Linked DNA regions of Oryzias latipes. The protein of the gene in region 1 interacts with the protein of each later gene in a biochemical or structural test. Links are inferred from orthologs where the notes say so. Each region holds a gene or a part of one and is shown in the gene's direction. Other genes may lie near its edges.

The links. The genes of interacting proteins can lie anywhere in the genome.
Region 2: the proteins of foxa2 (region 1) and otx2 form a complex in vitro, tested with the Homo sapiens proteins (2 studies listed by BioGRID). The link is inferred for Oryzias latipes from reciprocal best matches to the Homo sapiens genes FOXA2 and OTX2.

Annotation. Positions count from the first base shown.
Region 1 is NC_019880.2:16,307,775-16,311,838, forward strand, and holds foxa2 (hepatocyte nuclear factor 3-beta), read left to right. Parts: upstream 1-1,428; 5' UTR 1,429-1,596; coding exon 1,597-1,668; intron 1,669-2,122; coding exon 2,123-3,298; 3' UTR 3,299-3,546; downstream 3,547-4,064. UniProt on the Homo sapiens protein: Transcription factor that is involved in embryonic development, establishment of tissue-specific gene expression and regulation of gene expression in differentiated tissues.
Region 2 is NC_019880.2:12,878,864-12,883,118, reverse strand, and holds the start of otx2 (homeobox protein OTX2), read left to right. Parts: upstream 1-1,404; 5' UTR 1,405-1,762; intron 1,763-3,406; 5' UTR 3,407-3,514; coding exon 3,515-3,611; intron 3,612-4,034; coding exon 4,035-4,186; intron 4,187-4,255. UniProt on the Homo sapiens protein: Transcription factor probably involved in the development of the brain and the sense organs. Can bind to the bicoid/BCD target sequence (BTS): 5'-TCTAATCCC-3'.

The DNA of each region.
Region 1 (4,064 bases):
ATCCTCAAACACACAGCCTTTTTCTCATGATCTAATTTCCAAGTTAAGCAGACTGTGTTAGTCCCTCGTCAACACCACAGGTTTACTCGCCTTTACTAATGGGGCTCTATCCTGATAGTTTTGCTCTTGCGTAAATATGCAGTCAAATAGATGTACAACCACCGACACGTGGCTGACGGCGCTCGGCAGCCTCACCTTGATGTTTGTTTCATACAAATACAGTAAGGGCTCCGGGAATCAGGTTAACACTGCAGCCCCTGGACTCCCTTTTAGAAGAAAAGCTGACACATATATTTACCTCCACTACTTAAAAAGCTCCTCACAGAAACAGTTGCTACTATTTTAGGAAGGATGGAGTGAACTGCAAAAATTCTGTAAATTTAACGAATAATGAATTACATGTTACATCACAATGGATATCGACTTTATTATTTTTACTGAATTGGAGTAAAAATAAAAATGTGCTAAGTGCACATAATTTAAACAAATCTGATTTTTTCAGTTTACAGAATTTGAAGATTTAACATTTGAAGAAATAACCGAGAGAGGGCGCTCTGGCGCTGCGTCTGGTTTATTTACCATCAATGAAAACATTTGGAAATATTTTAATTCACTCATGCAGGTCGAGAAACGCACCAAACACTAAAAAAACGAGCGTTCTCTGTAAAAAAAATCACCTTCATTTTTATTGTTTTATGATTTTTTCTGAGAAATAAAAAGGCATTGTTGTGTTTCAAATTCGAATGTGACTATAAGTAAAGAGCTGCTGCAAAATAAACGAGCTTTACCTGTTTTTTTTTAGCTTAATGATTAAAGGCCGTTTTAAATCACAGCTGTGTTGTGCGCACGTGCACATATGTGAACTCGTTGCAGCTTTTAGTTCTTTAACATCCTTGAAAAAAAATTGTCAAAAAATTGACATATTCCGTAAAAGGTACTGTTTTTTTAGTATAACCTGATACACAACAAGGACCTATTCTTGTGTTTTGCGCAAAAGAATCATGTAAAAACAGTCTCATAAATGAATTGATTTTCGTATTTTGTGGTTCTACTTTAAAATATTTAACAGTTAAGACCAAAATTCCTTGAAGGTATCAAAAGGTTATGATTTTAGCATTGCTGAATGAGAAAAACTCCGTGCGTAAAAGGAACTCTGAAAGCGCACGACATTCCTTTCCCTTTTATTTCCCCCTTACAATAAGATTAGTTTTAAATGAAGCTTTTCATATGAAACTGTTCTTTTCACTCAGCGCAGGTGTACAATTGGGGTTGGGGGGGATGAGAGGGGGAGCCTGAGGAGTCTCACGCCTAGGTGCGAGGAGATTATTCAAATAGGGCCCAAGGCGTAGAAGTAGGGATTGGAGGCTTGCCTGGCGCACAGAGCTATATCACAGCGTTAACGAGCAGCACGGAGCGTCATTTGAACTCCGCTCACTGACAGACGCGTCGCGGCTGTCTGTGCGCGACACACATGCGCCAGCCCTCGACAAACGGACACGCCGACCACCCAAAAACCCTCAGTGGTCCCCAGTCACTTGCTGTTAGAAAGACTTTTTGGCTTTTCCTCTGCTGGGAGACGCTTCGTTCAAGTCCTCCATGATGCTTGGAGCAGTTAAAATGGAAGGACACGAACACACCGACTGGAGCACATACTATGGAGAGCCCGAGGTGGGTACCTTAAATATAAATATATATATTTTTTTCGGTCTAAAGCCGATCCCATTTAATACAACTCAATATTAGCCCTGAGATAATATTAACTTTGTGATCAAATATTGACTTGAGGCGCCTCCAAATCCTCCCCCATCTCCTCGCAGCGCGCTAACCTAACAAAGTTGACGGATATGCGACGTAGAAACTTTCCCCTCAGATTTATTATTAAAAAACAAATTTAAATCATTTTTTAATTCATTTAGAAAATGTGGGGGATTTGCCTTGTATTTTTTGATGGAAATTTTCAGCTTATGTGTTAGTTTCATTGATTTTTTTCCATATAAAAATGTTAGTAGTAATTGAGTTTTACGCAGTGAAATTAACATACCCGTAATTGTGTGTTATTGAATATTCATTTTTTTGTATGATGCCAAATTTCATGAACATTTCTTCCCCCCTTCACTGACAGTGTTACACCTCTGTTGGAAACATGAACACCGGCCTGGGAATGAACTCTATGAACACCTACATGAGCATGTCCGGCATGAGCACCACCGCAAACATGACGGCCAACTCCATGAACATGTCATACGTCAACACGGGCATGAGCCCCTCCATGACCGGCATGTCACCAGGCACCGGAGCCATGAACGGGATGGGAGCAGGCATGACGGCTATGAGCACAGCCCTGAGCCCCAGCATGAGTCCTATGACCGGACAGCCTGGGTCTATGAACGCCCTGACATCCTACACCAACATGAACGCCATGAGCCCCATTTACGGACAGTCGAACATCAACAGGTCCCGAGATCCAAAGACGTACCGGCGGAGCTACACGCACGCCAAACCTCCGTACTCCTACATTTCTCTCATCACCATGGCCATCCAGCAGTCACCCAGTAAGATGCTGACGCTGGCCGAGATCTACCAGTGGATAATGGACCTCTTCCCCTTTTACCGACAAAACCAGCAGCGCTGGCAGAACTCAATCCGCCACTCTTTGTCATTCAACGACTGTTTCCTCAAAGTCCCCAGGTCGCCGGATAAACCCGGAAAGGGCTCCTTTTGGACTCTTCACCCGGACTCCGGCAACATGTTTGAGAACGGCTGCTACTTGAGGAGGCAAAAGCGCTTCAAATGCGAGAAGAAGATGTCCATGAAGGAGCCCGGCCGCAAGGGTGGAGACGGCGGCTCTGCCAACAGCAGCTCGGACAGCTGCAACGGCAACGAGTCCCCGCACTCTAACTCCTCCTCCGGCGAGCACAAAAGGTCCCTGTCGGACATGAAGGGGAGCCAGGCCCTGAGCCCGGAGCACACCGCGCCCTCCCCGGTGTCGCAGGGGCAGCACCTCATGTCTCAGCATCACTCGGTCCTGGCGCACGAAGCCCACCTCAAGCCGGAGCACCACTACTCCTTCAACCACCCCTTCTCTATTAATAATCTCATGTCATCGGAGCAACAGCACCATAAAATGGACCTTAAGACTTACGAGCAGGTGATGCACTACTCTGGATATGGCTCCCCCATGACCGGAGCGCTTTCCATGGGCTCCATGGCGGGTAAAGCCGGCCTGGATTCTGCATCTATACCCGACACATCCTACTACCAAGGGGTCTATTCCAGGCCAATCATGAACTCCTCGTAGGCTCCCTGTATGCAGACTGCCCCCCACCCCCATTCCAGTTTGTACATTTGTAAAAAACAAAAACAAAAAAATATAGACTTTGTGTACTATATGTATTTGAGATATTTTTGACCTTTCTCACCGTTTTAGTTGTTGAGCTTGTTAGACTGTAAGGAGAATAAAGTGTTGCGCTTCAAAGATGGACCCCAAAGACACAAAAACTGCTGTAAGATATTCACGTTTGCATAAGTGGACACAGAAACCAGTTTGAATTCTTTGCCAGATCTGTTCAGTCATTTGTGTATTTCCTATTTATGGTCTGTATATGTGTATTCTTGTAGTGACAAGAATAGAATCTATATTAAAGTGTTATTGTTTTGCTTTCTGAACATGTCGGTGTTTAAATTATTATTTTTAACATTATCACAATTGTGCAAAAAGGAGTTGAAATCCCTGTTTTCCAAGCTATATAAGACGGAAACTGGAATTTAGGCGTTCAATTTGCATAAAGTACAAACAGTAACAACGTTTATTCAAACTGTATTCCTAATTTTTCTATTAAATAAACACACAAAATATAAATGTGACCAAGAATAAATTATTGGGCAATTAAATCGATCATGAAATATCACAAATAACCTGTCAAAAACACAAGGAGTTTAGCATGTTTGTGTCTTTTTTTATTCAATAAAAAAACAAACATATTCTCACCCACGTGATGCTCCAATAAAGGCGCATACTTTCCACAGCGGATTAATAGATTTGCTTCATAAAACCGGGTACAATG
Region 2 (4,255 bases), about 3.4 Mb from region 1:
TGACACAGCTCGAAATTCAGACAAAAATCCCGGTCGAAGTTGCATTCATCCTCTCCCCTCCGATCGAAATCTGTCAGCAGAGATGTCATCTTCGGAGCAGGCGCGCCATGCGTGCGTTTTGGGGAGCTCCGTGCGAGGCGCTGCGAGAAGAGCCGCTCCTCGTAGCAGCTGCCGCAGCACCTTTGACTCCGGCCTTTTCCACGCGCGAGAGGCGAACGACGAAAGCCGCGGTCTGCCTGTGTTTATAAATCTAAATCAATATTCAAATCTGGGTGAAGTGAGCGGGTGTGTCCGTGCAGGCGTGCTGTGGTGTGTCTGTGTGTGTGTGTGTGTGTGTTTGTCAGAGAGAGTGTGTGTAGGTGTTCCACAAAGCCTCTTAAGATGAGACATTTACCAAGCCGTGACAAAAACCCTCCAGTTTATTTTGAGACGCAGGTTCACCATTTAAGTGACGTAGCTTATTTGACAGCCCTTCATTAATTATTACAATAATACCAAAAATATTACATAGCAACAATAATACAGTATGACCACATTTTCACAATTTTCACTTTAAAAGTGGCTTACCTTTGCATAAAACAAAAATTTGTAAAAAATAAAAATAAAAAAGCAAAATTGCCAAAAAATCGTAAAATTGCTCCCTATTGTTTCCCCCCAAAAAAATAACAAAAACACGCCCCCCCCCCTCCATCCATCCATCCATCTCACCACGGTTCTTTGTGATTATTCTCTTCTCTGTTGGACGTGCAGGTGCCTCAGCCACTACAACCCCCCCCCCACCTGTAAGTTCTGCGCGTAAACTTCCACGCAGGCCCCGCGTGGGGCGGACGGCAGCAGACTGGCTGCTTCTGTGGACGGAAGGACACTTTAAAGAAATAAGTCTCTCTAAATCTTCTTTTTTTTGCGACGCACTGGAATGTGAGAGGACGCATGGAGAGCTCCCCCATTATTCCCCCCCCCCCCCCCCCCCGTTTCAGATCATTTTATTTAAGCTTTTTGAAATCTTTATATTCAAAATTGGGTATGATAAACTGGACATTTCAAAGGTATTTTATTTCTTTTATTTTAGGAGAAAAAATAATGGTAACATAAAGAAAATAATGTTGGGTTTTGGTTTATTTTTCGCCTTTTTTAAAGCCTCCCAGTTTGATGCCTCAATTCAAACACAAAATCCAACAAAAGCAGAAGTAAAGGGGAAAAACTGTTTTCCCTCTGATTTAAACTCGCTTCTTCACCATTCGCATCCATATCGTTCGTTTATCTTTGAGTGTACCCTCTCTGCGGTGGGATGGGGATGTTGTCAGTCGCCCTCTCGCTGCCATTGGCTGAGGAGTGTGCGTCAAAAAAGTAGCTGGAGACATTTGTTACCCTGGAAAAAAAAGAGAGAAAGAAAGACACCCTCCCCACCAGTGTGAGAGACGGAGAAGGAGACAGACCCCAGCTCGCTCCTGCGGCTCCCATTGGCTGGCACTTTGTACAAAATCTAACTCCAACCACTTCACTCTCAACACAACGACAAATCCTGAAGGCGCACACGCAGCCTCCTCCATCTCTCCTCCGCCGCTTCAGATCCTGATGAAGGCGCTCAACGCTCAACTTTTATCTGCTCTCTTGTTCTGCTTTGAGGAGACCTGGTTCGGTTCCTGCTCCGCTCTGTGATCCCATGATATTTATTCGTTTTTCAAGCAACAGGACTGCTCGTTTTCAGAGAGTTTTACCATTTATCTAAAGGAAACTGTGTTTTCTCAACATTCACGCTACGGTAAGTCTATTATTATTATTATTATTATTATTATTATTATTATTATTATTATTTGAACATAAGATTGTAAGGCACTATTAAACGCCTCTTAAAAATTATATTTTGTGAAAGTAAAACTTAAAAAACGTTTAAAGAAAAATAAAACTTTTGCAATTAAAATACAAGGAATGGTGAAAAACCTTTTTAGGAACCTGATTATGGAGAAAACTGAACCTCTACAATGACAGGAATGTCATTGATGCACTGTCAGTCCATAAAAAAATAACTAAAAACAAACATTTGATTTGAATTCAGTTTGAATTCTGTTAAAAGAAAGGAAAATGTAAGATTTCCAGTAAAGCATTTTTTTTTAAATAGAAAAGCATTTTTTTATTCATGGAAGTCAGACTTGAATTTTTTTTACACCATCTGTTTCTGAAACTGAACCCAAAAACGGATTTAGATGAGTTTTGGTGGATTTAAAACAGGAAAGAAAGACGACAAGGAAACAAACGACTTCATCTTTGTACTTTTTACGCACCAAACATATCACTGGAGACAGAACATTTAGGCCAAATCTCCAGGGCCTTGTTGTGTCTACTGTATGTGCCTGAGCAGATAAATAATTCAGAGGACAATAAACCAGCATGTCACATTTAATATGTTTGGCTACTCTTTGGGGGCAAACTCTGATTTCAAATGTCTGTTTGAAGATTTACAAATCGAATATTTGTTTACAATTTATTTGTATTCTTTTTTTCTTTGTATTACTAATAATTGTAAGAAAACATATTTACATAGTTTGTTGAAGAAATCTATTGGAGTTGAGTTCTGCGGTTTACGGTGCCTGCAGGATTTGTGTCTGCACTGACACCCTGCAGACAGACAGCAGCTCAACTTTCCTTCCACACGGATGTCCTCTTTCATTTATCAACTGCAAAACATTTATTATAATTACTGGTTGGACACGGGGTAATTATTATTGCGCGTGCGCGCACGAACTGCCGAGTGTTTGAGGTGACAGATTGGGTTGAGGGGGTTAAAACCGTTGGATATTGAAGGGAGGAAAAATGCAACTAATCAAGAGGCACAGTGGGGATAACGGGTGGCAAGGATCACTGAAGTTGAAGTGACAGCAATAACGTTTACAGGCGACCTCGCGGCGCGCATTTTATCGCTGTTTAAAAGTCACACGATCCACTTTGAAGGGTACTGTCTTTATTTTCAACTCTAAAATTACTTTTATGTGAAGATAATGAATAAAAATCACAAAAAATAAATTTGTTATGTCATGTTTGTGAGTAAAATGCATCAAAATGTTTGGTTACTTTAAAATATTTCACTTTATTTTGGGCTTTGGGAATTTTCGCAGGACATTATAAGTATTTTTTCTCCAATTTTATATGAAATCTTTTACTTTTTTGAAGTAGCCCCTGCGACTTTAATTAAATTTTCAAGTGACTTGTTGCGGTTATAACGCGCATTGTTTTTGTTGGCGGGAGGGGTGAGGGGGATTGAAGCAATGAGGACAGCTGGAGTTGTCGCCGGTCCTTTACGAGAAAGAGCTCGCATCCAGAGAGAGGGCTTTCAGATTGGAGCTGGTGGCACTTGACGGACCTCCGCCTCTTCATCAAGCTCCTTTTCTTTTTTGCCCTCTCCGAACAGGTGACGGGAACACGGGGAACGCCGGGAGTGGAGGACAGCCAGAGCGCATCGGGAGTTACATCCATTTTCAAAATTTTCTCCAACTTCAACCCCCAAACAAACATTAGCATGATGTCGTATCTAAAGCAACCACCTTACACGGTCAATGGCCTGAGCTTAACTACCTCTGGGATGGATCTTTTACATCCGTCAGTGGGATATCCAGGTAGGATTCCACGATTTTGATTAAAAGATATCCATAATAATGTAGATTTAAATAAAAACTATTAAAATGTATCCAGCATGATATTACCCATCAACTTCAGCCCTTTTGTTTTTGCAAAAAGCTAAATTTAAACTAATTCATTTTTTACTTTAAACTTTTTTTATTATTATTTGAAATATAATGTATTTTGCCTTATATATTTATTAAAACAAACCCAATTGTTATGAAGTGCTTTTTGTGTAGCAATGTTTCACCTTGCAGTCGTGCGTCATTACGCAAACAAAAGACTTTGGAAATTCCCCCATTAGTTTAATTTTATACTCTGATGGCATTAAATATTATTGCTTTAAGGAATGTGTATACATCAAATAACATGTTTTTTATGTATTTTTATTTATTTATTTTATTTATTTATTTTTGCAGCTACACCACGGAAACAGAGGAGAGAAAGGACTACTTTTACGCGCGCACAGCTCGACGTGTTGGAGGCGTTGTTCGCCAAAACGCGGTATCCTGACATCTTTATGCGGGAAGAAGTGGCGCTGAAAATCAATCTTCCCGAGTCCAGAGTACAGGTGAGACATATAAATATATAAAACTTTATAAATTTGTTATTTTACTCGATTTCATAAAAATCTCAAAGT